2 linked regions of the Arabidopsis thaliana genome follow. The protein of the gene in region 1 interacts with the protein of each later gene in a biochemical or structural test. Each region holds a gene or a part of one and is shown in the gene's direction. Other genes may lie near its edges. The genes, in order: FP6 and ACBP2.

What was found.
Region 2: the proteins of FP6 (region 1) and ACBP2 form a complex in vitro, tested with the Arabidopsis thaliana proteins (one study listed by BioGRID).

Annotation. Positions count from the first base shown.
Region 1 is NC_003075.7:18,032,069-18,036,516, forward strand, and holds FP6 (farnesylated protein 6), read left to right. Parts: upstream 1-2,062; 5' UTR 2,063-2,287; intron 2,288-2,294; exon of another isoform or gene 2,295-2,419; 5' UTR 2,420-2,527; coding exon 2,528-2,605; intron 2,606-3,241; coding exon 3,242-3,625; 3' UTR 3,626-3,821; downstream 3,822-4,448. Other genes in the region: PIS2 (Putative CDP-diacylglycerol-inositol 3-phosphatidyltransferase 2), read right to left, coding at 62-127, 240-284, 385-424, 627-676, 788-872, 966-1,023; BGAL14 (beta-galactosidase 14), read left to right, coding at 4,048-4,251, 4,327-4,422. UniProt on the Arabidopsis thaliana protein: Heavy-metal-binding protein. Binds lead, cadmium and copper. May be involved in heavy-metal transport. May be involved in cadmium transport and play a role in cadmium detoxification.
Region 2 is NC_003075.7:13,845,313-13,850,446, forward strand, and holds ACBP2 (acyl-CoA binding protein 2), read left to right. Parts: upstream 1-2,236; 5' UTR 2,237-2,461; coding exon 2,462-2,949; intron 2,950-3,225; coding exon 3,226-3,328; intron 3,329-3,408; coding exon 3,409-3,512; intron 3,513-3,775; coding exon 3,776-3,867; coding exon of another isoform or gene 3,868-3,872; exon of another isoform or gene 3,873-3,952; coding exon 3,953-4,050; intron 4,051-4,137; coding exon 4,138-4,317; 3' UTR 4,318-4,622; downstream 4,623-5,134. Other genes in the region: FEY (NAD(P)-binding Rossmann-fold superfamily protein), read left to right, coding at 1-81, 499-600, 722-814, 916-1,251; AT4G27790 (Calcium-binding EF hand family protein), read left to right, coding at 4,754-5,134. UniProt on the Arabidopsis thaliana protein: Binds medium- and long-chain acyl-CoA esters with very high affinity. Can interact in vitro with palmitoyl-CoA, but not with oleoyl-CoA. Binds to lead ions (Pb). May function as an intracellular carrier of acyl-CoA esters.

The DNA of each region.
Region 1 (4,448 bases):
ATGTACAAGAACAATACATCTAAGAAGTTGAATGAAGATTTTATGTAGCAACAAAGAGTACCTGTACATTTGCAGCCAGTGACTAGCGATATCTAAAGCCAGCAATGACAGGAAAACCAAGCTAGGCCTGTTTGTAATTGTGAAAGTCCAAGACTACATGTTAAACAAAGATTACGTAGAAAACCAGATAAGTCCATGAAACGGAGATGTCAGTGTAAAGAAGTAGAGAACACTGACACCTGTATATCTGGGAGAGAATCACGAGAAGACAGGCTGTGCTGACTCTGTAACCATGCGCAGACCCCAAAATATATGACAAAAATGTTAAATGAGATTAAAAGAATGAGCAAGTTGAAACTCGGGAATATGTAGCGGAAGATTCACCTATCTGTAACCATATCCAAAACAGCTCCAAATGTAGAGACTGAAAGGAAAAGAGTTGTGTGTTACGTTCAATCGTTTCTGATAATGTAGAACAAGAATAAACTGTGTATGGGACTAAAAATATTGATCAATGAGACAATGACATGAAATGTCATATTTAATCAATGTCAGGATCATAGAGGAAGCATAAGTAATGAGTTAGTTGAAGCTAAGAAAAGAGATGGGGAGAATGAAAAGAGCACCTTGGTTAAATTTACGAGCGCACCATCCATCCACAGCATCACAACAAAAACTGGAAACAAGATTGGGTAAAGAGTGACTAACATATGAAAGAAGAAGCACCAAACACACAAGATCAAAAAAGGAGAAGAACATGATGTTGGTACCACAAGGATAAAGTCACCTGAAAAAGTACAAGAGGGAGAAGAGTGTCTTGTTGGAGAAGCACACAGAGAAGGCAATGCAGTTCAAGAGAACTCTCATGTACCCTGCCAATTTTGCATGTAACAACACTAATCTCATATGGTTTAAAAAAAATGAAATTTTTAAAGACAGAAGAAAGGAAGTAGCAAAAAACCGACCAACGATATTGGGAATGTAGAGGTAGACTGACAACGTCGCCGGTCTCTGTTTAGCCATAACAGAGAGAGAGAGACTTCAGTTTGGGCAATCTGTTCCCCAACGAAGAAAACAAGGATCTCGCCAATGAAGGGATACCTACACGAGATTAGAAAGAAAAAAGGAACAAACTTTGTGGGAAAATGCGTACGGACAGAGGAACCCCAAATCCGGTAAATACGTGAACACACACACACAAACAAAGTAGGTCAATCGATTTTCAGACGCAACTGGAAATATCAAATCTCAAAGTAAGTATGGGGAAATTAAATATTTCTCACCTGCCTAAGAGAAATTGGGAACGAAGGGATCCGCAGGATGAGCCTGCAGACTTTGTTGGAAGCTCTCACAAGAATCAGATTCGCCTCTCTCTCAAGCAAAAACGTTTTTTCGTTTAATATTCTCAAATTCAATTTGTGAAATACAGTACTAACATTTGTTAAATTATTTGTAAAACTTTTCTCGGTTTCGCCGCTTCAACACTGAAAATTTGCATATTTTATTTGCAAACAATACATACACGCATATATCGTTAATTTTCTTCTTCTTCCACGCACACTTTATTTACTGCTGAATTCGGATTGTGTCATTAGTCATTACTCACTCATTACTAATTTCCACAAACCTTTGTATCTTCATCGCTTAAGACTATAATTGATGATGGGATTTTCGGATATATGAACTTGAATCCCATGGGGGTCCAGATATCCAGATGGTTCTACTTGCAAGTCTTGCAAATCTAAATGGAATTAAAACTCGGTTGATTTTTGTCAAAAAATCGCCAAAAATATAAAATGGTAAGTAAGTGGGCCTCAGAAAAATCCATTAGAAAGCCTAGACCAAATTTTGGAGTGGGCTTCATAAAATAAACAAATCTGGTCATCAAGGTCGGTACGTCGGTGTGACTTTGCGAGTCATCATCGATTATCCAAAAACAATAACTCCTCTCTTTACTTTCTTCCCATGCACCAAGAATATATTTTTTTTATTATTATTTATTAAACAAAAAAAAAAGTAAAGCAGCAGAAAATCTAACGCACGACTCTTGTCCCAAGATCAGTCTCAGTCATCATCAAAACAGAAAATTTTATTATCCATTGTAATTTTATTTTTTTCTTACAAATTACAACTCTTTTTTTTTTCATTCATGGAATTGGAATGAAGAAATGTTTTAAGCCAATCCAAAAAAGAAACCGAAAAAAAAAAACTAGAAATTAGGAAACCGTTAGCAAGAAGAGAAGAATCGAGACGGCGACTAGGAAACTGCTGGGACCAGAAAAGAAAGGTGACCCATCCATCATTCACTTAATTAGATACATACTGTATTACTTATTACAATAATGCCTATATATATTCTCCCAATTCATCATTTACTTCTTTACACCTCCACTTTCCCTTTTGCCCCTCTTTTTTACAGATTTCACTCTCTGCTCTACTACTCTCTCCTCCTCCTCCTCCTAAAGAAAGTTCTTAACTCTCCTGGGTTCTTCAGGTTTTTCCTTTTCTGGAATAAAAAGAAGAAGAAATGGGTGTTCTTGATCATGTCTCTGAAATGTTTGACTGCTCTCATGGTCACAAGATTAAAAAGCGCAAACAGTTGCAGGTACTTTCCCTCTTCCTTTTCTTATCTTAGCAGATTCAGCTGATAACTTAGATCTTGGTTTGCAAAAAAACAAACATAATAATTCGTTGAAAAGTTATGATGAATGAGTCTAGTAGAAACTAGCTTCGATGGTTACTAGGAAAGTTTGAGTGTTACTTAGTAGATCTCGTATATTATAGTTCCATAAATAGACTGCCATTAGCAAGTTTATTATTGTGGTTTTGGCTGGCTAATTTGTGTTACCTTTCTTACTTCAGATCTTTTTTAATATCTCTGTGTTTTTTTATCTGAAGAAGTATATCCAAATTGTTACATGATATAAGTGGGATTTTATTTGAAGCAGTTTTTGTTTTGAGTTAATGTTCCTTCCTAACGCCGACCGAATAGATTCTTTTAATCTGAAATATAAGTTGATACAGCCATCTGTTAGATTTTACACCGGGATTTGTATTCTTCTCGCTGTCAGGAATACTATATAAAATCATTAATTTCCGGGGAAACCAACCACGTTAATTTTTCTCACTAGTCATGATGATATGGTTAAAGTCTTTCAATTGTGGACATTTACTATTCTTCTTAGATATTTTTAAAGTAGGCTAATTTTGTCGTTTTGTGTCGACTGCTTGATGAGGATAGACGGTGGAGATTAAAGTGAAAATGGACTGCGAAGGTTGCGAGCGGAAAGTGCGGCGTTCTGTCGAAGGCATGAAGGGTGTGTCTTCTGTGACGTTGGAGCCCAAAGCCCATAAAGTCACTGTAGTCGGCTACGTCGATCCCAACAAGGTGGTGGCTCGAATGTCTCACAGGACCGGCAAGAAAGTCGAGCTCTGGCCATATGTGCCCTACGACGTGGTCGCTCATCCTTACGCTGCCGGTGTCTACGACAAGAAGGCACCCTCCGGTTATGTCCGAAGAGTCGACGACCCCGGAGTGTCGCAGCTGGCTCGTGCTAGCTCCACCGAGGTCCGCTACACCACTGCATTTAGCGACGAGAACCCGGCGGCTTGTGTGGTCATGTGATGTCATATGGACTACTACTGTTTCAATTTGTTATGGCTTAATTTAATGTCTTGTTTTGTACATTAATACCATAACGGTAGGTTTCTTGTTTTGGTTTTAGTTCCTTGGTCTGTATTCCTTACACTTTATGATTGCAATATGTGTTTTTCCCTTTCTTCCAAAGACTTTTAATGTTAATAAATATTTCTACCCAAAATTAAATTATTTTCATTTATGGTTTGTAATTGTGAAGAAAGCTTCAAATGCGGATCAAGTTGTAGTTAAGAAAACCATTAAATTAAAATAGAGAGAGTAGTTGAAACAAGGGTTCCGAGCTTCCCTCTTTAACCTAGGACATCCTTAAAACAAGGGAACAATATAATACAAGTTGTAACATTTATGTATCAAAGTGTTTATCGATGAGCAAATCAAGTAGAATTAGGATGAAGTCGAGAACACGATACTTGATAGCGATTCTACTTGTAATTTCGCTCTGTTCCAAGGCAAGCAGCCATGATGATGAGAAAAAGAAGAAAGGAGTAACATACGACGGTTCTGAGCGGAACTTCATTGATCATAAATGGAAAAAGAGAGCTTCTTTTCTCTGGTTCTGTTCATTACCCTCGAAGCACACCTCACGTAAGCACGTCTACTCTGTTTTTATTATTACCCAATCAAAAAGATGATTTCACTTCATGGATCGGATTCTGGTTTTGTTGCAGATGTGGCCCAGTATCATTGACAAAGCTAGAATTGGGGGACTTAACACCATCCAAACTTATGTTTTCTGGAATGTCCATGAGCCTGAACAAGGCAAGGTATCATCGACTTCAATTCTCTCTTA
Region 2 (5,134 bases), 4.2 Mb from region 1:
GCTCCAGCGCTGCTTTCAGTACTTCTTTTGCCGTCTCTGATCCGAGGCTCTCCTAGCCGAATCATTAATGTGAATTCCGTTGTAAGTTCTCTATGATCACTGATACTGCAGGCTCCAAGTCTGTATTCTCTAGTTTATATTCTCTTTGGTATGAGTAATCATGTTGACAGGTTGATTTGTTTGTGTATTCTGTAACTTGAAAACCTCTGGTCTTGTCAATTGGTTGCAGAATATGTAGATAACTGATATAGATCTCTCTAAATCACTGAACTACATATGCATATTGTATTAACACAGTCTTGGTATAGAGAAACGATACAACCATAGCTTGTTGAAAGTTTCAACCCCAAATACGCTTCCATGACTGCACTATGTCATTACTCATTTCAGAAGAATTCTGTGCCTGGCTGTTTATGAAAACTGAAACAGTTTATATTTATTGTCTTTGATTATTACTTTTTCATGCAAGATAATGGGTTGTGGGATTCACTTTTGTAGATGCATAGTGTCGGTTTTGTTGACCCGGATGACATGAATGTTGTTTCTGGTAGACGTAAGTACTCAAGCCTTATAGGATACTCAAGCAGCAAGCTTGCCCAGGTGAGCTTACAGTAATGACATCTGCCGTAGTTTTCATCTGCCGTAGTTTCCATTTTCTGAAAGAGGCTTATTTTCAGAAACTGGTGAGTTAAGTCTCGCTCTCTGATCTTCCATCTTCCAGATTATGTTTAGTAGCATTCTTTTCAAAAAGCTTCCTCTGGAAACAGGAGTCAGCGTCGTATGTCTATCCCCTGGTGTTGTCCTAACAAATGTTGTGAGTATTAGCTTCACTTCATTTCGTTACAAGTGCAGGATTCCTCTGTTTTCTCAGAAATTCATTGCGTTGAACTGCCTATTTCTTTCCGAAATTTACAGGCCAGGGATCTATCCAGGATTCTTCAAGCTCTTTACGCAGTGATACCTTATTTCATATTTTCACCCCAAGAAGGTTGTAGAAGTTCTCTATTCTCGGCCACAGATCCTCAGATTCCAGAGTACTGGGAAACACTAAAAAACGATGATTGGCCTGTTTGCCCATTCATCTCTCAAGATTGCCGCCCTGCAAATCCTTCCGAAGAAGCACACAACACAGAAACTGCACAGAGAGTGTGGAAAAAGACGTTAGAGCTGGTGGGTCTTCCTCTCGATGCAGTTGAGAAGCTCATAGAAGGGGAAAATATCCAATGCCGGTATGGAGCACAACACGAATAGTCTTTCAAAATTACCACAGGTTAAGTGACCCATTACAGATCAAAGGGTAGGTAATTGAGAAAATATCTTTTTTTTTTGTTTCCTTGTATTAATCTACACGATACAGTGGGGAATGAATCCCCCAGGCATGTAGTTTGCTTGAGAATGTTTGATTGTTGGATAAAAGTCAAGCTTTAGCTACCATTCCATTGCTTTTACTTACAAGTCTTGTTCAAGTATTTGGTTAGTGTGTCTTGGAGTTATTAAGATGTTCAGTAGTAGAGTATGGTAGCCTGGGTTGGTGGGTAGTTTCTTGTTTGAGTTTAGGGTATTTTCGTAATTTTCTTTATTGTTTGTGGAGTCACGTTGCTCATATATAGTTATAGGGATATATATCAATTAGAGTCATCATCTCTCTTACTCTCATGGTGACAAAGTCACAAAAGTGATAAACTCTCCTTTCCACTTTCTAATGTTTCTTGCTTAAATGAGTATTCCATGTAAAAATGATTCACTCACTCGTATGGGTGGGTTGGGTTTTCTCTTCATGAGATGCTCATTTGAGCAAGCAATGTTTGGAAGTGGGACTATTTAATATCATGTATGAGTTTTATCTTTTGTTATAAGAAAAAAAGTTGGGATTTCATTTTCGTGCCCACTTCACGTGAATCTAATGCCTTCAAGTTTGTGGTCTACCTTATTTTCTCTTATGGATACATGTCAATTTACGTGTCGTATGAGTCAAGCCTTTAATCATCCCAACACCATGCACGTCTTCTAGATTTGTTTTCGACCACGATTCCACCACAAAATTTGACATTGTTATTGAATTCATTAACTTTTTTACGTGTTATTGTGAAATATTTATTTAATTTTGTTGGTAAAAGGAGCAAAAAAGATTAGGGTACAACACGTCGACTTCTTCCCCAATTAGACCCATATGTGATCTGTCGTCACTCGTCGCCAAGTTTTTTTATGTGTCGTCTTTTAAACTTTGATCCAATTCATTAAAAAGTCTTAACGCCCACAACGAAAAGGAACTTCTCTTTTTGTTTGGTGACTGAATCGGTGGAAAACAACACAAGTTTGTTCCTTTTTGTCTCTCCAGATCCCTTGGCTTCCTTCTTCTTCTTCATCCTCCTCGTGAGACTCTGTGTTGAAATTTCTCTAGGGTTTTAATTATCGGCGTTGGTTTTTCGTTTTTGAGAATTTGATTTCGTTTTTAGAAATAATGGGTGATTGGGCTCAACTTGCTCAGTCTGTGATCCTAGGTTTGATTTTCTCTTACCTTCTCGCTAAGCTGATCTCGATCGTCGTCACGTTTAAAGAAGACAATCTCTCTCTTACTCGTCACCCAGAGGAGTCTCAATTGGAAATTAAACCGGAAGGAGTTGACTCGCGACGTCTCGATTCCTCTTGCGGTGGTTTCGGTGGTGAGGCGGATTCGCTTGTGGCGGAGCAGGGTAGCTCCCGAAGTGATAGCGTTGCCGGTGACGACAGTGAGGAAGATGATGATTGGGAAGGCGTCGAGAGCACGGAACTCGATGAGGCTTTTAGCGCCGCCACTCTTTTTGTGACTACCGCCGCCGCAGATCGGCTTTCGCAGAAGGTACCGAGTGATGTGCAGCAGCAGCTTTACGGATTGTATAAGATTGCTACGGAAGGGCCGTGTACTGCTCCTCAGCCATCAGCTCTCAAAATGACTGCTCGTGCCAAGTGGTATCTCTCTCTTTCGTTGAATCTGCTGTGCCATTAACTTCTATGTATCATTTTCTGGTGTTTTTGTTCAACTGTTTGAGATTTGATTTGAGGTGGAAATTTTTGAGGTTTTAGGTTCTTCATAGACAATCACCTAGTTTGCTTCTTAGCTTATGCAACTGCTGGACGATGATGTGGTTTTTACTGTTGTAACAGTTGATTGTATATGGAATTGTGGTTTGTTGTAAGATTGCAATTTCATTGATTGGGATGTGCCATGATCTTGTTCTATCTCAGGCAAGCATGGCAGAAACTGGGAGCTATGCCACCTGAAGAGGCGATGGAGAAGTATATTGAGATTGTCACTCAGCTTTACCCAACTTGGTTAGACGGTGGCGTGGTATAAAGCTTTTTCCCCTTTTCTTTGTTTGATTGCTTCGGTTTCTTCCTCTGGCCTGTTCATGTGAGCTTCACTAACAGAAAGCCGGAAGTCGGGGTGGGGATGATGCAGCCTCCAACTCAAGAGGAACCATGGGACCAGTTTTTAGCTCTTTGGTTTATGATGAGGAGTCCGAAAATGAGTTGTAAGGTTCTCTTCTTGTATTCTCATGTGTTTTATATCCTGATCCTTGCGTTCATGTCTAGATTAGATATAAGTATCCTGATTTGTGAAAGAGGCTCATAAACTCGGTGAATATGTAACATTACTGTCTCGTTCTAGCTGTAGCAAATTTTGATGGTGAAATGGCTACAATTGTCTCATGGAACTTTGAGCTGTTCGTTTCTTCCTGTCTATCTGAATGAAACACTAATCCTCTGCTCATTGAACTTTTGTTTTATCTCTCAGGAAGATTGATGCCATACACGGATTTGCTAGAGAAGGAGAAGTCGAGAATTTACTGAAAAGCATTGAAAGCGGCATTCCTGTAAATGCAAGGGGTTAGTCTCTGCTTGTATATTCCGTTTCTTGGAAGTTCATTCTCGTGATGTTGGATCTGCATTCTAATTTTCCCATAAACTGCAGACAGTGAAGGTCGCACACCATTGCACTGGGCTATAGACCGTGGCCACCTCAACATCGCCAAAGTTCTGGTCGATAAGAACGCCGATGTGAATGCTAAGGTGACGAAAGAGAAATTCCTACCCAGTCATTATCTGCAAAGTTAGCAACTTCTTTATTTATGTGTTTTTGGTTCTTGTGTTGAACAGGACAACGAAGGCCAAACCCCTTTGCATTATGCTGTTGTATGCGACAGAGAAGCTATCGCCGAGTTTCTGGTTAAACAGAACGCAAACACAGCCGCTAAAGATGAGGATGGAAACTCTCCCCTTGATCTCTGTGAATCAGACTGGCCCTGGATCCGAGATTCTGCAAAGCAGGCAGACTAAACAAATACTAACCACGTCTTCTCTAAATCCGCAATGTATATGATCAAATGACTTAGTAAGAAGCTTTTCTTTACTTTAAACTTTCTTTCCATCCCTACCACATCACTGGGATGTTCCAACACTATATCACTTGGATGTTACCAAGTCTTGTTCTTTGATTTCTTTCTTCTTACATTTTAACAATCTTTTGTTCCTTTAGGCTTTATGATATGTCGTAACCGGTTTTGTTGGTTTGCTATAAATACACACATATAGACAGAGGAAGAGTCATTGGATCCTCAACGAATAAATAACCGACTTTGGCGGCAAAAACGGTTGATAGAACATAATTTAATGATTTAAGGAAAGCCCCCAATAAAGCAAATACAAAAACAGAATTAGCAATCTTCGTGGCCCTTTCGTCTTCTCTCCCTACCCCACCTTGGACTACCGGAAAATGGCCAAGGTGGTGGTTTACACGATACTAACCGCCACCATCATCTTCCTCATCCTCCTCGCTCATAAGAAACAAAACCAGACTCAATCCATTGAGGGTCTCATAACCCGCCGCATCGGACGGAGGCTTGAAATGCCGGTGTTTGACCCTTTGGTGACCCGGATTGAGAGGTTGTCTCATGAGAAAGAAGCTGGTACGAAGACCGTGGAGGCTGCGAAAGAGGAGAAAGATGATATGTTTGAGGAGTATTTTGCACAAGAGAGAAGGCTTAACACGACAATGAGGATCAAGTTCTTGTTTCCTCTGCTTGACGCGTCTCCAAGAGATGGCTTTGTGAGCTTGAAAGAGCTTCAGACATGGATGATGCAACAGACAGAAGAC